4 linked regions of the Arabidopsis thaliana genome follow. The protein of the gene in region 2 interacts with the protein of the main gene of each other region in a biochemical or structural test. Each region holds a gene or a part of one and is shown on either strand. Other genes may lie near its edges. The genes, in order: DRNL, PHV, ZPR3 and ESR1.

The links.
Region 1: the proteins of PHV (region 2) and DRNL form a complex in vitro, tested with the Arabidopsis thaliana proteins (one study listed by BioGRID).
Region 3: the proteins of PHV (region 2) and ZPR3 form a complex in vitro, tested with the Arabidopsis thaliana proteins (one study listed by BioGRID).
Region 4: the proteins of PHV (region 2) and ESR1 form a complex in vitro, tested with the Arabidopsis thaliana proteins (one study listed by BioGRID).

Annotation. Positions count from the first base shown.
Region 1 is NC_003070.9:8,713,855-8,717,450, forward strand, and holds DRNL (DORNROSCHEN-like protein), read right to left. Parts: upstream 1,525-3,596; 5' UTR 1,456-1,524; coding exon 535-1,455; 3' UTR 511-534; downstream 1-510. UniProt on the Arabidopsis thaliana protein: Required for correct embryo patterning and cotyledon organogenesis. May positively regulate the gibberellin signaling pathway leading to germination, hypocotyl elongation, and leaf expansion.
Region 2 is NC_003070.9:10,795,562-10,803,192, forward strand, and holds PHV (Homeobox-leucine zipper family protein / lipid-binding START domain-containing protein), read right to left. Parts: upstream 5,533-7,631; 5' UTR 5,184-5,532; coding exon 4,963-5,183; intron 4,452-4,962; coding exon 4,292-4,451; intron 4,162-4,291; coding exon 4,046-4,161; intron 3,965-4,045; coding exon 3,874-3,964; intron 3,779-3,873; coding exon 3,683-3,778; intron 3,597-3,682; coding exon 3,483-3,596; intron 3,407-3,482; coding exon 3,323-3,406; intron 3,245-3,322; coding exon 3,089-3,244; intron 3,003-3,088; coding exon 2,928-3,002; intron 2,854-2,927; coding exon 2,747-2,853; intron 2,675-2,746; coding exon 2,485-2,674; intron 2,393-2,484; coding exon 2,204-2,392; intron 2,121-2,203; coding exon 2,040-2,120; intron 1,954-2,039; coding exon 1,813-1,953; intron 1,725-1,812; coding exon 1,435-1,724; intron 1,337-1,434; coding exon 1,219-1,336; intron 1,136-1,218; coding exon 986-1,135; intron 914-985; coding exon 767-913; 3' UTR 563-766; downstream 1-562. UniProt on the Arabidopsis thaliana protein: Probable transcription factor involved in the determination of adaxial-abaxial polarity in ovule primordium. Specifies adaxial leaf fates. Binds to the DNA sequence 5'-GTAAT[GC]ATTAC-3'.
Region 3 is NC_003074.8:19,557,004-19,561,506, forward strand, and holds ZPR3 (binding protein), read right to left. Parts: upstream 2,321-4,503; 5' UTR 1,909-2,320; intron 1,105-1,908; 5' UTR 1,092-1,104; coding exon 888-1,091; 3' UTR 513-887; downstream 1-512. UniProt on the Arabidopsis thaliana protein: Competitive inhibitor of the HD-ZIPIII transcription factors in shoot apical meristem (SAM) development. Acts by forming non-functional heterodimers. Part of a negative feedback loop. Involved in SAM development and lateral organ patterning.
Region 4 is NC_003070.9:4,428,074-4,431,641, reverse strand, and holds ESR1 (Integrase-type DNA-binding superfamily protein), read right to left. Parts: upstream 1,925-3,568; 5' UTR 1,852-1,924; coding exon 865-1,851; 3' UTR 677-864; downstream 1-676. UniProt on the Arabidopsis thaliana protein: Regulates gene expression patterns in meristems and thus modulates organ development. Required for correct embryo patterning and cotyledon organogenesis. Modulates auxin signaling pathway in early embryos.

The sequences.
Region 1 (3,596 bases), 2.1 Mb from region 2:
GTTTTTTTGAATAAGGGTTATAAACATTGATGCAAATTCGAGTCCTTAAGTATATGTTTACTGAGTTTTGATGGTGCAAATACTTTAATGGACAAAGGATTTTGTGAACCTAAATATAATTATGCCCTTACGGTGATCTGAGAGGGAAAAGGGAAAGAAGAAAAAGCAAGAGGACAAAGGCTGTCTTTATGATTCTGAAGTCAACTTATAGAAAAGAAAAAAAAATCTTAATTTGTTCAAGATATATATTTTTGTCCTTTAGGTATTGTCTTCATCCAGCACCTCGAGTATTTTTACTTTATTTTTGTTATTACCTTTGCTCATAACCGACATATGTCATACACAATTAATTAACTTCGCTCATACTCAGATAAAAATTGTTCTTTGCTAAAACATAGAGATAAATTGATCATAGCACTAGACGAAAAATTAAAAGACAAAAGATTTGAGTTAGTTACCCTTAACCTCATTTCTTACAACCCTAAAGAAACTGTGAAGTGATAAGCACGTAAAAAGTAGAACAACAACAATATTCTAATAATCATCATGAAAGCAATACTGATAAAACATTCCACCATTTCCGTTCTGCTGCATCTTAGCTGAATCAAACCCATTCTCATGATCAGCCCAACCTAACTCTCCATGATATTTAACCTGACCGAATCCGTTTCCTTCGACATGGAAGTCAGCTAAACGAACATCTGTCTGAAAACCGCTCTCTGGCATCGTCGGGAAAACACCAACCGACTGTTGGTTGCTCTTTGGAGGTATAGAAGCATGTTGAGAGATAGGTTTTGGTAAGAAGCCTTGAACAATTTCTTGAAGAAGACCAGAACTAGCTGGTTCTGGTTCAAAGATATTTGATATCAGGCTCTCGTTCTCAATGGTACTTGACCTCTTAGCTTTAGGCGAGAGATCTTCACAGACATCGTTGACGTTAGTGAAGGACTCGTGAACAACGTCGTTTACGTTAGAAAGATTACAAGGCGGGTAAGCGAAAGTGGTTAACGGAGAAAGAGACTGAGAGTTTAACACGTCTCGTAGAAGGAACATATTCATTGGAGGAGACGAGAAAATACGGTGGTGATAAGAGTCGAGAGAAGGCATTGGGTAGACGAAGTTGGTTCGAGCTTTAAGACCACGCATGGCTCGAGCGGCGCAGTCATATGCGCAAGCTGCTTCCTCGGCCGTGTCAAATGTTCCGAGCCATCGTCTCTCCTTGGACAATGGGTCCCGTATTTCAGCTGCGTAACGACCCCATGGCCTACGCCTCACGCCTCGGTACCTTATCGTAGAGACACCGGAAGCGCCGGCGCCGGAGGCAGCTTTTGCGGTAGTTACTCCTCCGGGAGAGCCAGGAGCTGTCGAGGAAGTTCTTGATGGCTTTCTTTTCAAAGAATGGATGTTGGTTTCTCTGTGCTCGGCACCTTCGAGTCTCATGATTGCTTCTTCCATGGTTGACCTAAGGGAAATTTTTAAAGCTAAGAATTTTTCTTTTTGTTCTGTGATTGTCTTAGGGTTGTGAGGCACCTGAATGTGATGATAGCTGATTACGTATTTATAGAAAATAAAATATACATTTTTATTGTTTTTAATTTAAGATGGACCTGACCCAATATATAATTTAAAAAAATGGACTTGCATTGCATCTTTTATTGACTTGTGAGTTGTGAATCTATGAGAGATGCAGAAAGCAAAAGTACGTTTAACGAAGTTCTTGTTCCACGTTCGAACTTACATGTCTTTTCTTTTTCCTTTTCTACGGACTTGCATAAAAGCAGTTATAAGTTACATATTTCATGTCTTTTTGACAAGTAACAAATTCATAATTATGATGTACTATTTTTATCTTAACCCTTGCACCATTCTTTCTTATTGTCAGAGTATAAAGGTCCTTTGATACTGTTGATTAAAGGTCGATTTATTCTTTTGTTTTAAGTGAAAGACATGAATATATTTCAGAAAACTTTCTTGAACAATTTACAAATTAAAATTATAAAATCATTGATTTCATTTATTTTTGAACAAATTCAAAGGTCATCGTTTTCAGCTATTTCCGTTGGTCATATTATTCTTTAATCTTTACGCACTTTTCTTTAATTGTGTTTTGGGAAATAATCAATGGTCATTAATTTATAATAATAATGAATTACAGTAATAATAATAAGCAATAGAGTTAAAAGTGATTTATACAGTAGTTTGTGGAAGGGAAAATTATGATGTTGGAGTTGAAGCTTAAAAGGAGAGGGTTGAAAATCGTGAAATTATGATTCTGAATTAATAACACTGGCGGCGCGCAGAAATTGTTCCTTCTACATGAGGTTGTGTTTTGTCTGTTCTTTTTACGAGATTATGGTCGATTTGCTTATTTAGGGTTTTGCTTTTTAATCTGTAAACCAAAGTCACGTGGATTTGTCTCAACTAGGGCTCTTTCTTCATGGTGTAGCCTCTTTAGGGCTTTCCTACTGTAGCTCGATTGTGACTAATGACCCTTTGCGTTTACGGAAATCAATCTCCACCACTAATTTCGTATATATATGTTTGATAATTAATGTAATTTCGCATTTACATAAAAAATAATCTAAATCTCTCTCACATTCTTGATCAATTAATGTCTGTAAAGCTCCATTCATATTCGAGCCCTAAATATAAGGGTTGAATGCAAAAAAAAAAAATCCGTCAAAAAAAGTTTTATCACGCCTAGGAGAAAAAATTATCAATCGTCTAAATATAAGGGTTGCATGCAATTATCACGTATGTTATTATGTTTATCACGTAATTATTGACATATATCGCGTAGGAGAAAAAAAATATATCAACGCAGAAGTCTTTTAGGAGTGTCTAAATATTTTGCCGTTGTTATATATATAACGATTTACAATCATATCTAATTGCATGTAATTTTTTTTTCATTTAGGTTGTGCCGCGAAAAAATATGCAGATTGAAAAGAAAAAAATAACAAACAAAAAAATGGAATAAATATGTGAGGCAAACAAAAACAAAACTATGTTTCCTCAACAAAACGTTGGCAAATCATGTCTACAAACAGTAGATGTTGAAGGAAGAGAAGTCGTGAGCTCCTTGTGGAATTAGTGGATTATGAAGCTGAACACCACAGAGCTCAGTTTGTAAGGAATCGAAATCACTTTTAAAAAATGTGGAAATTTGTGGAAAACTTGAACCTATATAACGGTGGTATCAACTTGTACGTACACGGTACAACATATCAACAGAAGATTAATTCATGAAGTAGTTTGAATAATCGGCTCTAGCTAGATCTTTAATTCATAGAAATCAGACTAATATTCTAAACCTAAACGATATGGACGTCAATTTGTCAGATGGAGAAAACGGGAAAACTGTTAAGAAAAGAAAATCCTATATTTCTATTTTGATGCATGCTTCCGTCTTTCGAAACTACAAAGAATTAATTTGTAACTTTATGAGTTATGACAACAAAAAAAAGAAGTATTATCATAGCTTTGAAATATATAGGGTGGAGTAGTGAAAAAAAAAATATAGGGTGGTGAACACTATTGATTACATGATATAGATTATTGAGAAATTCCCAATATATCCACATAAAAGAATTAAA
Region 2 (7,631 bases):
TGATAAAAAGAGATTGTACATAAATAAAACTTCCATATTTTTGGTCGGTATAAAACTTCCATAAGAGTTTTGTAGGTTTCTGTCCAAAAGAAAAGCTATTTATCAACTTCCATTACTAACTAGACTACCCAAAAGAAAAGTTTATAGGTTCCTCCAGCCTAGAAGTCAAAGAACAGCATCATCATGACTAGTTTTCTTGTGATAGATACTATTTCAATTTAATAGATAAATACTAGTAATGATTATTGATCATTTAATGTCAAAGATTCATTCAAATCTAATCTTTTGGATGATTATTATTTATGCATACAACCTAAACTCCGCATACATTTTTCATGTTACATATGAGCTACCAAGTCCATTAAACGTTTTTTGCCAAAAACTATGATGATTAATTTAGTTTATTCGACATGCTTTTGAGGCCAATCTTTGTGTTTATATTTGTACATTAACACATGATAAAAACTTATAAGATTACTAATAATAATTCATCTTATATCTATCTATATATATATATATATATATATATATATATATATATATATATCAAATTTCGTAAAAGGAAGATGAAGAAAAACGAAACAAGTCCAAAACATAAATAAAAATAAATATCTTGCCATACATAATGTCATAATTGATTAAAGAGATTATCATCAGAATTTTTCCATATTACATATAGAGTTATGGACTCTCTAATTCAACAAACCTTAGCCAAAAACAACATCCCCTAACTTTTAATATCTAACATAACCAACCTTTTCCTTCATCAAACAAACGACCAACTAACGAGGGTAAAAGCCAAGCAGTGGTTTGATTCGTTGTCATCAACAACTTTCCACACCGTCGCTTGCTCATACGAAACCGGTCTGCCCATGCTCGACACACATATTCCTGCCGGAAGATTCGCATATCCCTGAAGAAGATTCAATCCAAACTTAGTATTTTCCAGGGAAAGACTTAAAAGACTAGCTAGAAAATGTTTAACCTGCTGCATGATCTTGGCGAACTCGGAGCAAAGAGCTCTACGACCAGAGTCATCAAGTGTTTTGTCGAGCATTATATCCTGAAGTGCCACAAGTGTAGTTTCAAGCATGTCTAAACCAGCTTGGTTTGCAAATGTGAATACCGGTGAGGCCTGAGAACCAAAAAATAATCAGACAATTCCCAAACCGAACCATAAACTAGATTGAGCACCTCTTAAAAAAACAGAATTCTTACATTAGTTTTCAGGGAGCAGCACAATATGGCATCACTATGGTCCCAGAGTTGCTTAAGCAATGTGTCTCCTCCACAGGACTGAGAATCAGCTCCAAACAGATCTGCACCTGTATGAATACTAAAACATCGGAGAAAAACATTTTATTGAGTTATTAAATGAGATAAGCACATTCTATATTGTTACAAGTCTTTAGATTAAGGTTCTAAGAAGAGTACCTGTAACTACGGGTGATCCAACGGACAAGAGTGAGAGCTTCAGGGGAAGTGGGAAGTTGCATTGAGCCAGGACGAGGCGTAATGGCTAGAGCCACTCTCTGAATCGAACCAACAACGTTCCTCACATACTGTCTCGCCATTGTAGCAACATTGTCTCTGGAATGGTTATCAAACGTGAACTGGAAGGCTATTGTTAAGACCAATCTAGAGTTTGTTTCCGAATCGGTTTTGGTGGAACCATCTAGGGACGATGCTAGATCCCGTGTTCGACTTGCAGATTGATGATCATTCTGTAACGTTACATACAGGAATAAAAGAAAAAGGACTGTGTCAATTTCAAGATATCAAATTTCTTATCATAAACAGTTTTCTTTTTACCGGATTTGTTTTTTGGTCGAGTGGTATGACACGGAAACCAGAAGGAAGCAAAGGTGCATCATCAGCAAATGATTCATCGATTGGGGCAAAGACAAGCTGAGCACAACCTCCAACCACATTTTCATCAACGCCGCTACAAAGCTGGACAAAAGCAAAAAAGAAACCAAGAATTCAATTTCAATAACTCATCTTTAAGAATCCCTGAGTGTCTTTAGTATAAAGCAAACCTGCAGTAAATACATATCCCGGGATAAGCCCATGTCTTCAGGTGAGTAAGCATGACCTCCAAGTCTAACCACTTCGAGAAACTGAGAAACAAGTAAGCAAAATAGGATTATAGGCATGGCAAAAGAATAGACAACAAGGAAAATGTTCTTGAGATTCTTTGTACCTCTTCATGTTCGAGTGTCTGTGCGAGAGGAAGAATGACTTGGTTACTCGGGAACCCACCGGTTCTGACGCATGGAACAGCATATGGAGTTGCTCTGAGAGATGCAGCAGAATAGGCATCGACACCATAGTCTGCCCATTCAGCTCGGTGTTCTCTCAGGAACCGAATCAATACAAGGGGTGGAACATTCTTCAAGAGCAGATAAAAAAGAGAATGATGTCAGAAATTGAAGAAACCGGTTCTTTTGTCTATTCACAAGTGTCAAAACATGATATAGGCACCTGCAACAGCATAGAAGCTTTGGCACAGAGGACACCACTTCCAAAACTTGGAAGAAATGAGCTACCGTATTGGGAGCCAGCAAATTTAGCAGAGGAAGAGTTAATCATGATCGTAATATCCTCTCCTCCATCACTACTCATTGGAGACCATCCATCATCGACAAAACCATTTACAGCATCATTGAAACCCCTGAATTTCAAGAAAAGCAATTAGAACAATGCTTTAGAAAATAAAACTAAGCTTATCAAGGAAATGTATTACCGGCAGAGTCTCTGGCTGAAAGTCCTTAAAACTGCAGGCTGGCGTCCACCACTATACTGGACTTCTCCACTAGTCTCTTGAGCAATTTGGCGCACATGTCTCAGAGCCTGAAATGTGGAAGTAAAACTCATAAAGAGAGCCTAATCAGGTCACGGGTGGATAAGGTTTATATGGAACTTACAGCGACAGTCATTTTTTGAGCAAGGATTTTGGAAGACTCATAAAGAGGCCTGAGGACTTCAGGAACACTTGAGACCTACCAAACCAAAAAAACGTATCAATCAACATAAATAGAAGGCTTTTACGAAACCTAATGTGCTATTACAAATCCAATATGCTTACATCCAAGTCCACATGATCAACGATGTGAATAATGGAACCACCACCATCACAAGGACGGATAAGAAACCCGCTTGACAGCATTTTGGCTCTCACGAAGCTTGAAGAAAGTGGACCATTGGGGCCACCAGTTGCAGAAGTGAGTGATCTCTCACAGACCTGAAGGCAAAAAAGCAAATATAAGGCAAATCTAATAAATAGAATCATAGATGAACAAAACCAGGTCCTAATACCCACCACATAGCTTCCATCTTCTAGACTTGTACTATATCTCAGCGTCCAAAAGTCACGAGCTGCTGCTAATGTTGTAGGAGCATAAATCTGATAACCAACCATGAATAATGATCATTACATTTTAAAGGAACAAAAACAACACTCATGGATTTATGAAACAGACCTGAGTGTTGACAAGCTCGATAGTACCACCATTTCCAGTGGGTATAACATTCAGAGTCTCGACACATCGACAGTCACGGAACCAAGATGGACGATCTTTGAGGATTTCAGCGACCTACACAGTATTTGAAGTTTAGATTGCCTTCGTAGAATTTCCGCTTCTTACAACACAAGATTAAAATAAAAAGAAAACACCATTACCTTCATGGGTTCTAAACTCACGAGGCCACAGGCACGTGCTGCTATTCCACTGCAGTTGCGTGAAACAGCTACGATACCAATAGAATCCGGACCAGGCTACATACATAACCATGAAAATACATATTAAAACATTTTCTAAAAACCACTTCATTTCCACATATGAAAACGTTAAAATACTTCAACTTATCTACCTTCATCCCAATCATCTGGACCCAGTCGACAGCAGTTCCTGTAGCCTTGCAAAGGAACTCCGCCAAGGTCTCCTCCGCAATCGAGAGAAGACTACCAAAAAAACACTCCATTTAGTCTCTTCTCATAATGTCACAATGAGAAATTCACAAACAAAAAAAGAGCCTTCCTTACTTAGCTGGGTTGTTAACATCACGCTGAGGATGCTGATGTGTTGGGTTTTGCTGCTGACGTTGCTGACCACTCACGACCACAGACTCACAGCTGTTGTCTGTGGTCGTCCCAGAAGCCTAAGACACAACACAGAGATTTCACCAGTCACTCTCTAACAACAGAGAACTCTTAAAGAACAAATACATATACAAGCATCAAAGATAACAACTCAACAATGCATTTAGCAAAAGGGATTCAAGGACTTACAGTGTGGATTCGATGTTTCATGAATCCATTCTCATAAACCAAGTTGGAGACTTGCTTCTGCAAACGATCATTCTCTTCCATCAAAAGCTTGTTCATAGCACTCAGCTTCCTGTTCACTGTCTGAAGACGAGCTGACTCTTTCCTCTGCTTCTCTCGACATCTAAAAAGTCAACAAAACAACCAAAAGAAACCAGAAAAGTTAAAGACAAACCTATAGCAGTATGATAAATGTGTTGAAATAATAGAAAAATGAACAGAAGAAACACACACTTTTTTGCTTTAGAATGATACCAGAATGACATAAAGAACAAAAGATAATGTAATTTCCAACATATTCTCTGCAGAAGGAAAAAAAGAGAGAGGCGTTTTAAAGCTCATCAAAGACAGTTTGATTAGCTGTCACTTTTCCTTGTGATTTTAACTTTCAACTGTGTCAACAAAAGCCTAATAAGCAAAAAGAGAAAAACAAATTTATAGACATAGATCTGAAAGTTTCAAAAGCTTAACAATCACCAATTAGACCAAAAACAAGAAGATTACCAAAAACATTGTCAGACAAGAACATTTTTGTCTCCAAATACAAACAAAAGAAATTCAATTTTATAATTACAGAAACAATCAAAGAACACAAAAAACATTCCATTAAAGACAATTAATAAAGAAATAATAACCTGCGATTCTGGAACCAAACTTTGATCTGTCGAGGCTCGATGTTACAGAGAATGGGACATTCACGAATAAGCTGTTGTCTTCTCAGAGAGCTAGGTTTAGGACACTCAGCATAAACTCTCTCAAGAGCTTCAACTTGTTCCGGCGTGTATCTAACGTACTTGCCGGAATCAAATCCTTTATCAGGAGAGTCTCTATCGTCCATGGAGTGATGAGCCATCATATCTTCCAAACAGGTCAGTAGAAATCAGAGAGAGAGAGAGGGTTTACAAAAAGAAGAATAAAGATCGATACTTTGAGAGAAGTAAAAGAGACTCAGATGAAGAAATATTAGATGGGTAGGCTCTCTGAGAAGAGAGAGCCTCCTGTGAGAGTGTTCATGAGATGGTAATGGTTGGAGAAAAGAGTTTTTTGGGTTTTTTTCATTTGCTCTCTCTCTCAAAGGAGATTGAAAGATGGAAAGAGGTAAAAGGAGCAAAAGCGAGGCAGCTAAGTAGAGAGAAGAGAGAGAAGAGAGAGAAGAGAGAGGAAAATACTGAAAAAGTAAAAGTAAAGATCTTTCTGAGAGAGAAAGGACAAGGAACAACCCAACAAGATGCACTAAACTGGTAAATATTGTTTTCAAAAAAAATTAAAGGTGAAATTTTTGGGAGAGTAGGTTGAATTCAATGTTTTTGGTTAAAAGCTTTTTACTGTTAAGGCAAAGTAAAAATATTTAAACTTTTTCTTATACAAAGCTAAGCTTGAATTTTAATTCAAAGCTTAAATTCTAAAAGTTAAAATGATTAACTAGGATAAAAGTTTATGTCTTTGATAACTCATTATCAAAGCGGTAGAGTTTGTACAACTTTGACAGTTATCATTTATAAAATCTTTATCAAAAACGTTATAAAAAGTTTTATTCTCAATTTTATTATACAACTTTCTCGTACAACTCTTTTTTATAGTTTGCAACTATTCCGAAAAATTTTACAATTCATCTAAATTACCAGTTGGACCCATATATATTCTTTGGTTGCCACCATATAAATATTATTAGTTAAATAGATAATTATAATATTGATTGAATTAGATTAACAATTCATTTTAAAAGTTTCGTAATATTTGATGCATAGTTATAAGTAAATAATTACTTGTTTTATTATTTTTTCTTACAACTCTTTTAAATAGGTTTAATATGAGATGGAATCTTGATTACACTTCTCTAATTCATATCATTACCACCTAATTTTCTTTGTGTAAACATGTTTCTGTATTCAATATTCTTGGATTAGATTAAAAGGACAAGTAGATGTTGACAATTAAAAAGGATTGAAAGTGATTAGTTTTGAAAAACTTAAATGCATTCAGATTTCAGACTAAGGCTAAACACAAACAGATGAGAAAACCAACACGCAAAGTTGTTGTCTCTGCAAATTTTAAGACATATCAATTATTATCAGAATCCCTAGTCCTAATGGCAATCGATAAGAATAAATATGTTTATCTATTGGTAACAAAAATAAATCATGCTACAACTATTTATATTCGTAAAACGTAAGTGTTGTTGTCAGAAGAAACGGAATTTTGACAAAATGGGGTAATTTGCTAACTTAGGGAAAGAAAGCACTTCTCTTTAAGCTCTGTGACAGTGGCCTACCCAAACATAGCATCAAATTTTCCCTACCCTCTTTGCTCTCTAGTCCTAAGACGTTGTATGTATGTATGTATGTGCATGTACATATTTTCATGATGATGGTGTTGTTGTATGCCTATCTTTTGTATCCATGTGGAAGAGACGATGCATGACAAGTATGTACAATGTCACTATGCGCGTGAGATGCGTGAAATCTGTTGTTTTTTTTGGTTAACCTTAATTGGTTTTATTTCCTTTAACTTGTTTTGAAAGTTTTGAATATAAATTAGGGAATTTAATGAAAAAAACCCTTAACTTTGGCCAGATCCATTTTAAACCCTAAACTATGTTTTTAGTAAAACAAACCCTGAACTAAAACCTGTTAATAAACTTAACTCCACAGTAATTAATTATTAATGGGATATTAATTTCTAAAAAAAAAAACAACGAGACATTTGTATTTAGCGCAAAAACCACATGATGTTCTTTAAAACTATTTTGAATTTATTACAAAAAAACGTTCTAAATGATTTTGAATTGCTTAATTAGTTTGGATTTTAGAAGCTGAAAGAAAGACACAACAACTTAAAATAATCCAAAGAGTCATACTTAAATAAATCCAACCAACATAACTATCGAAGCTGTTGCAACACAACAATATTTGTCACAAAAAAAACAATCGTTTCAGAGGGACAAGATATTCTAAAGTAAAGACTTGTCAAGCATTAACTTTGAAGAGAAGATTGTATTGGCTGAGTGATAGGGTTCTCTTCATCCATTGTTTTCTGTTTTTTCCTTGGTCGTCTTTGAGGTTTCTTGGGTGGTTTTGGCACTGCTTTACGCTTGCATGAACGTTTGTTGTGTCCGACTTGTTGATAGTTGCTACAAGTCTAAATATGCAAAGATTAAATTAAATAATTTGAAAAGGAAGATCTTGTGAAACATAATTCATTGTTTTCTATTTTACCATTTGAACTTTTTCACGTGTATAAAGAACTTTTTGAGGTGGACGATCTTCAGTTGGATCACGGATTCTGTCATTGTTCTTTGGTCGAT
Region 3 (4,503 bases), on a different chromosome or scaffold from region 2:
ATTTGACGTAGCATCAATTTTGGTCTATTTAAAGCTATAGTATTCTGATATTATCCATTCTGAGGTTTTATCCAGTATTACTGTTGTTGAAGGAAATGATTTACATGACCAATATTATCAACAACTGGTTTGAACCATAATAATTAAATTGTTCAGATGCACATGGCATAATAATTAAATCATTTCAATTTAGAATGTTAGGATAAAGCTTTCATTGAACTTGCTACAACACATGTAGACTATATATACACAAACACTACTATTAATATTGTTTTTCTTCCTCATTTCCTCTACTCTAGTCTACTTGAAAATTACATAGACCTATTTATACTTAAGAAGTGTTTGCTAATCCTGATGAATAATTAGTGTCAATTCAACGATTCAGTTTCCACTTACTGTCTTACTCGATCGGAAAATATCATGGACAAAATGGGTCACTTTTGTTTTTGTATGAGATGATATATCAATATTGAATGCGTTTTGTATATGATTATAAAAATCGAATAACTTGTCCCCATGTTATATACGATACATTAGTTGATTGATATGCACTTGACAATATTTGATAAATGGAGCAAAGGTACAAAATGTTAGTCCAAGAATCAACCATATCCTAAAGTCCCCAACCCCACACCAGAGGATCTTTAATTAACATAGAAAATAGAAACAAAAGTAAAAATATGACTGAGAAGACTAACAGAGAGACACTGTCTTCTTGTAATAAAACAGAATCTTCTTTTCATAATAACTACTACAGTGCTCGATACTACTTATCTTCCTATAATACACCAAACAAAATAAAATACTTCCAAAAGGTTGGGTCTTCTTTTAATCTTCTCCTACGTACGGATTCGAGATCTCTTGCTCTAACGTATTCTTGATTTAAATCAAGATTGTCCAGAAGCAGAGCTTGATTTGTTGTCATTGTTTGATCCATTGTTAGAGTTCTTAGTTTTGGAGAGTTTCTGTTTGAGTTGAAACAAAAGCTGTTGGTTCTCTTGATTCAGAAGCTCAGCTTTCTTCCTTAGTCTCTCGTTCTCTTTCATTATGTAACAGTTTTCAACAAACAGCTTCGAGTTTAGCCTCTCCATTTCTGCTTTCTTGCTACAAGTAAAACAAAACAAAAGTATTATTACGAATTTTGAAAAATAAATGAGAAAAAGAGAGTAATAATATCAATAAAACCAAAGCTTGTGTTATGATTATTATTGTTCATGTTAAATCATTACATCACACATGGGTTGTGCAGCTTCACACGTCGGATGTGAATTACATTAGCTATAGGAAAAATCATTTGTCGCATTTATTTCGTTTTCATGTGAATTTCTTTTTCTTCTTTTTATGAAATCAATGATCAAAGAGAGAAGAAGAACATGATTATAAATTTGTATGGAGGATAAAAAGATAAAGCTAATAAAGAGAAAGAAATTGAAGAAAAGAGATAAAAACAAGTAATCATGATGATATATATGCAGTAATTATAAATGTTTTAACCTCTATGGACAGAGAGAGTAATGATTATATTTGAAACGCTAGAAAAAAACAGAGTAAGCAACAAAACAAAGATGGTGATCGTAGCAATACAGACTATTAAAAAGAAAAATCAAACAATTTTTTTTATTTATTTCGGTTGCCTCAAAGAAAAAGATAAAGATTAAAAACTTTCCATCATTGAGGAATATTTTAAAAGATGAAAAAGTTTTAACATAGAAAAAGAGAGAAATTAAGGGTTTGTCTTCACGTTAGTTGTACGTGTGACGTTACTACATAACTATTATCTTAACGTATGAACGCAAAAGCGATAGATAACAGAGCAAGAAACAGAAACAGAGCATGTCGAGAAAACTCACGTTAAGCTTCTAGAACAGTAAGAGAGTGAGAGAGAGAGAAGGAGAATAGAGGTTATACCTTTTGGGAAGGAGTGTTGAGAAGCAGAGATAACGAAGAAAGATTGAGAGAGAGAAGAGAGACGCTAGTTTGTGTGTGTAGAGAAGGTAGAGGGACAAAGAGAACAAAGTGAGACACTGTCTGTTATATAGATCCCCAAAAGCTAAAGAGAAAGAGAAAGAACCTTCTCTCTCCTGACACAACAATCATGCATTGTGTTGTGTTTCTGCATAGATGGCGGCCGCAAGAAGAGAGAGAGAGAGAGGAGATTTGTGCATATTGCGTCATGTGAATGATGATGATTTATTAAAGAGAAAGAAGTTAGAGAGAGAGAAGAAAAAAAAAAGGAGTTTTCTTGCTTGCTCTTCTTTCGAAATTGATCTTCAGGGATATTTTCGTAATTTCCGAAAGATCCCCTAGCACTTCCTTTGGCTCTTCATCGTATTCGTCCTCTAAACAGAAGATTCGGTTAAAAGAACTAGAGTAAGGGTATTTACGTCATTACGAAGGAAGTAGTACAGAGGAGGGTAATATTGTCATTTGTGTAGGACTAATGAGAGGGGCTATAGTAGAAGAGGCCATCGACCTCTAAAGATTCGCAATGATGGTAAAGATTGGTTCGAACCATCATCCTTCATGATTCTATTTCAACCGTTTTGGACCATTTTGTAAATGCTCTCTTTCCCCATCTCATGTCCCGGTTAGCTCAATCTTGGTTTAGTTCAAATATTACACTCCACCATTATTATGTTTTAGATTATTATTTCGGATACAAATAGTTTCCTTTGTGTGTTAAACTATTTGTTACTTTTTTCTTTGTATGAAAATCATAGTATACCACAATTTGAAAATGCATTTTTTTGTCCTCTTATATTGTCTCAGCATTCAAGATTTGATATAATTATGGTGGGAGAAGAAAAAAAGAAAGAAATAATGAAGAAGAAGAGTGTTTGGACTTTGGAGCCGTAAAACCTACAAAAAATAATCATGGATCAAAAGTGTTGTAGAACGTGAAACATCATAAACAGTGAGGTGGTTGTTTTTGGATGTATTTATGACTTCTCTTTTTTTCGTAACTTCACATGCCTTTGAATAAAACTCGTTCGTTTGCCCATGACTTAACCCCCAAAAAGAAGATGACTACAATTTCACGTTTATTTAAAACTACTTTGGCTTGTGTATATAAATCTTGTACGGCTTCTTTTAACCCTTCTTTCACGGAATAAATGTGAGAAATTGTGTTTTTTGTAAATATGCTGATTGTAGAAGTTAAACAAAACTGAAACACAATTAGTATTAAGTAGGTGTGTCTTGAAATGGAACTAAAGAGTGGGTACACTTGCTTACACCAAAGGCAATGATTTTAAAGGTGTGAGCAGCTTCATTTCTTGCTGGCCTATGCAATGCCGTTTCTACCCCTCATTGCTTTGGTCTAAGTTTGACAATTCGGTTTGGTGTTGATTTTTATTTATAAAATGAAACTTTAATTTATAAATATAGTTGGTTCTAGGATTAATTTTGGTTAATCATAACCCAGTCGGACCAATTTTCACACCCCAAAAAGGTTGAAAACTTTGTCTCTTTACCATGTAAATTTCAAAAACCTAAGAATATTCAAATATTCGGTTTTGGTAACCCCTATTAATGTAGTAAATGTTTGGTATAGAATATTAGATTACCATTCAGAGAAACTATATTTCGCTTTTATTAATTAATTGGAATTTTCTAGTTATTTTCTCCTTTGTTAATCTAACCTAATCTTTTTTGAACTTTATAATATAAACACAAACGAATTAAAAAAATATACCGTAATTTAACTGATTAAAAGTCTATATAAGTTTGTGTTTATATGACGTATATTTCATTTTGCTACGTACTACTGTATGTATACATTCATGTTGTATGATGGAGCATGCCTCTTTTGCACAAGAAAAGTACTGAAATCTCTTTATTTGAAGGAGTCCACATCCACCTCGAAGGCGATGTGCGCAGTGGTTCGATTGCTATACCCGAGATTGATTTACCGGCGATTGATGTCGCATCATCTGCTGCGTCGGTGGTGGCGGAAGAGTTAGGTAAATCAAATCTCACATAAATGATTCTCTGTTCTATTCTCCATTCTTCGTTCTTCTGATTGTTTTTTTAGGTTTTTGGTGGTTAGATGTTTGCGCCAGACGATTCAGAATTCATAAGGTGTAAAGTGTGTTCATATTAGACTGCATGCAAACATTATCATTGCACATCTTAACTTTTAAATAAAGGACTACTACAGATGTTTGGATGGACTACTACAGAAGTAATTTTCATTTAAATATGGATAAATATCGACGCTCACGATTCAACAAGCAAATCTAGTTTGATATGAATTAGCAATATGCAAAAAGTGATAAGGATTTGAAAAGTTGAAAAGCAACAAAGAAAATATAACAACTTAAAATATAAATGAGATATAATTCTTAATTGACTTGGTATCAAAACATTTGTGTCCTGTTTTGATATTGTTGTCAATACTCAATACTATATATAAGTACTTTTAGTATCTACGATTCTACATCGACATTTAACATATAATCTTATAGAATCAATGATGAGGAACAAGTCCTAACCACATTCAAG
Region 4 (3,568 bases), 6.4 Mb from region 2:
GGATATACATGTTACATCAACGCAATAACCACGAAACATACGGAATTGCGAACATGAGTAGTGGGTACAGTTGATACAAAAAAAAACGCAATTTTTTTTTTGTATTTCATCATATATTCGCAATGAATTAAACTCATTCTGCATATATTTTAGTTTTAGTTTTTTTGAAAAAGCATATATTTTAGTTTTTTTTTTTTGGTCAAAGCATATATTTTAGTTTATTTCTGCAAATTCAGTACTTATTAATCAACATGTGAAAAAATCAGTACTTATTACTAATTTTTTTGACATCAATCAATATTAAAGTTCTTGACCTTTGTTATTTAGTAGTTCAGCTTTTCCTTTGGTGATAGAATGAAGAGAGCACGAAAAGTTGGAGAAGACAGAGACAAACACTGCCTTTTGTACGAACGTTAGTCCACTTTTCAGACTACAAACAAATAAATGTAAGGATATCACTTTTTCATCTGCAGATTCACTTTTAATAGGTCGATACCAACATTGCTGAACAAAGGAATTTTCCTATTTTACTCATCTCTCATCATATATATTATTTCTTGCTATTACGACTATGTTAGAGGCTTAAAGCTGTTTAAGAGTTACGTAACTTCTTAACAAGTTCCACCATGTGATTATAAATTATGATACAACTTAAATCATTAAGCGCGTAATGTGTCAGAATACGTGGATATAAACTTTAATTAGCTACGAAAATATATTATAAACTTGATTATAATTATGAAATCCTATTAGCAAATTCAACTTAAAACATAATTTAGTTAATATCCAACATTGGGAAAGGTAGCAACTTTAAACTAAGTCGATAGTACCAAAACTCAAAACATAATCATGATGAATATCTAGCTATCCCCACGATCTTCGGCAAGTACAGCCTAACTGAGTTCCGTACATCAACATTTCTTGATACCCCCACTCGTTTGATCCCAACGATAAACCACCGTCTGCGACGGCTCTTACGCCGTCGTCATTAGCTTGAAAATTCCCGTAGCGATCTAGTTTCGACGACAAAGTCTCCTTAGTCTCTTGAACCATATTTTCAGAGTATATAGTGAGATTAGAGAAATAACCAGAGTTGTCATGATGGCTAGTCACCGGCGGTGGTGTTGGTGGAGAAGGAGGAACGCCGCGATTTTTCTTCAAGAACTCTTGAACGACCTCTTGTAATAGACCAGTATCAGAAGATTCTTCCGGGAAAAACGACTCGTTGTTTTCGTTTTCGGAATAAGAAACGCATGCCGTTTTCGATGCTGAGTAAGAAGATGATGAGCCGTTGAAAGAGTTATTATACGGAGTCGTTTTACGAGAGGAACACGAGGCGTCGCGTAAGAAGATAGACTGTGTATTATAGATCCTCTGCGCTGCCGGTGCACCGTAAAAGTTTTGGGTAGAGGAATCTAACGGTAGAGAAGGAAGAGGACAACGAGCAGACGGCGAAGATTTCTTGTTGGAAAAAGAAAACCTTGGTTCAGGCATAATGACAGCTGTCGGATAAGTAAAATTAGTACGAGCCTTTGCTCCACGAAAGGCACGAGCCGCAGAGTCGTAAGCACAAGCGGCTTGTTCCGCCGTGTCAAATGTTCCGAGCCAACGTCTCTCCTTCGACATTGGGTCACGTATCTCCGCCGCGTATCGTCCCCACGGCCTCCGGCGTACGCCGCGGTACCTCGTCGTGCTGCTGCCAGCTCCGGCGATGGTTACAGTGGTATCTTTTGAAGACAGTTTGCGGTTGCGGCTAACAGGTGAGGCTGTAGGTTCAGTGAAGAATTTTGTGAGAGGATTAGGGTCTGGTGAGTGGGTAGATTCGGTGAAGTTTCTCAAGGCTTTTTCCATTTTTGGTTTCTAGGGTTTTGGTTTGAGGACAAAAGGAAGGTGTAATGTGAAAGATTTTGGTGGTTGATAGTTTGAAAGAGATGGAGCTTCTTCTATCTATTTATAGGTACATAAATGGTATAAAAATTTAATTAAATTTTGTGAAGTTTGAAATATATGGCGAAGAGTATAAATGCTTTTCTTGCACATACAGTATAGTAGTATACAAATAACTATATAAGCATGGAAACTTTTGAGTTGCACTTAAAACTTGATTTGATTAATAACTGATAAATTGATAATACTTCTTTTGTATATTAATCTTAGCAAACTAAAATTTAATTTTACATTTAAATTTACTTGCTATCTTGTTCATCATATATATATGGGGTAGATGTTTTAAATCTTTGGTCTAGACATTAGTGTTTTTCTTTGATGATGACGATGCAAGTGGGAGTGGCGAAATAAAACCACGTTCTTATTGCTTTTTTATTTATTAAAGTTAAAAATCGACCAACAGTCATTTCACACATGCTAAACATATTTACATTATTTCTGTATGATTAGTAAAGGATAATTCCATTATTTCTAAAACTGCCAATTAGAATAATCCTTGAAAAAGTATCTTTGTTTGTTAATGTTAATGTATGATTACAACATACACCAATCGGTGATATCGAGAAGAAAATAAATGATTTTGTAAGAAAAGTATGGAACAAAAGATATGCATAGCAACACTTCAGTGTAAATCTGACACTTGTGGATATTATTGTACGAAGAGGACATTTCAGGTTTGTCTAAACGTATGTATGAGACATATATGTATTTCATGTATCAGAAGCTTGTTTTTTATTTATTGCTTCTGTCTTTTTTTTTGTTAAAATTATTTATTTCTTCTGTCATGAAATAATCATGCCATATCGCCCGATGCTTACGTTTTATTATAAAGTCTATTAGAACAATATAAGAATTTGACAAGTTTACTGGAGTATCTTTCAAAAGCTTTGGTAAGTATTACTAATTGTTTAAATAAGTTTTGAAATAGCGTTGTAATGGCTGCGTTTGCGTCATATGTGTTTAATTACTACCATCATTTGAGATTTTTTAGGTATTATTATAAAACCATCTACCATGACCATGACGTCATGAACTCATTATATTGAGATTTATGTTGGTTGGTCGGCAAATGACTGAATGAGACAATAAGCAGCAATTAAAACCCCTGCGTTAATTCTGTAATTTTACAAGCAAACTAAAATGTTTTAATTTAAAATGTGCATAGTCATAATATGAACTTAAACTGATAACATTTTGTCTAATGTTGAAATGTTACAACTCTATGTGAAACCATAGGCAAGATCTTTTATTACCAAACTAACAGTATCCATGGTTGATATAAGATTTTGTCTGGGGGGGTAGGTTGAGTTAATATATACTATAATAATTGTTAAGTATAGTTATTACTATATGGTAAAAACAACAAAAGAGTTCATTGGTGAACTTATCTATTTTCTATTAAAAATTTGAGAAATTCTTCATAATTTTGGGAACTAAAGACTTTTGGTTTCCAGCTCAGTCCTATGCAAATGTCTTTGTGATTTCCGATGTCACAAAGTAAATTATTACGATAGCTCGTGTTCTGAGATAATTTTAGTGTATCTATCATAATATCAACTTGAAATACTTCGGTTTCGATTAGGGTTGGACATGTGAATTATATATCCAACCTAATCAATTA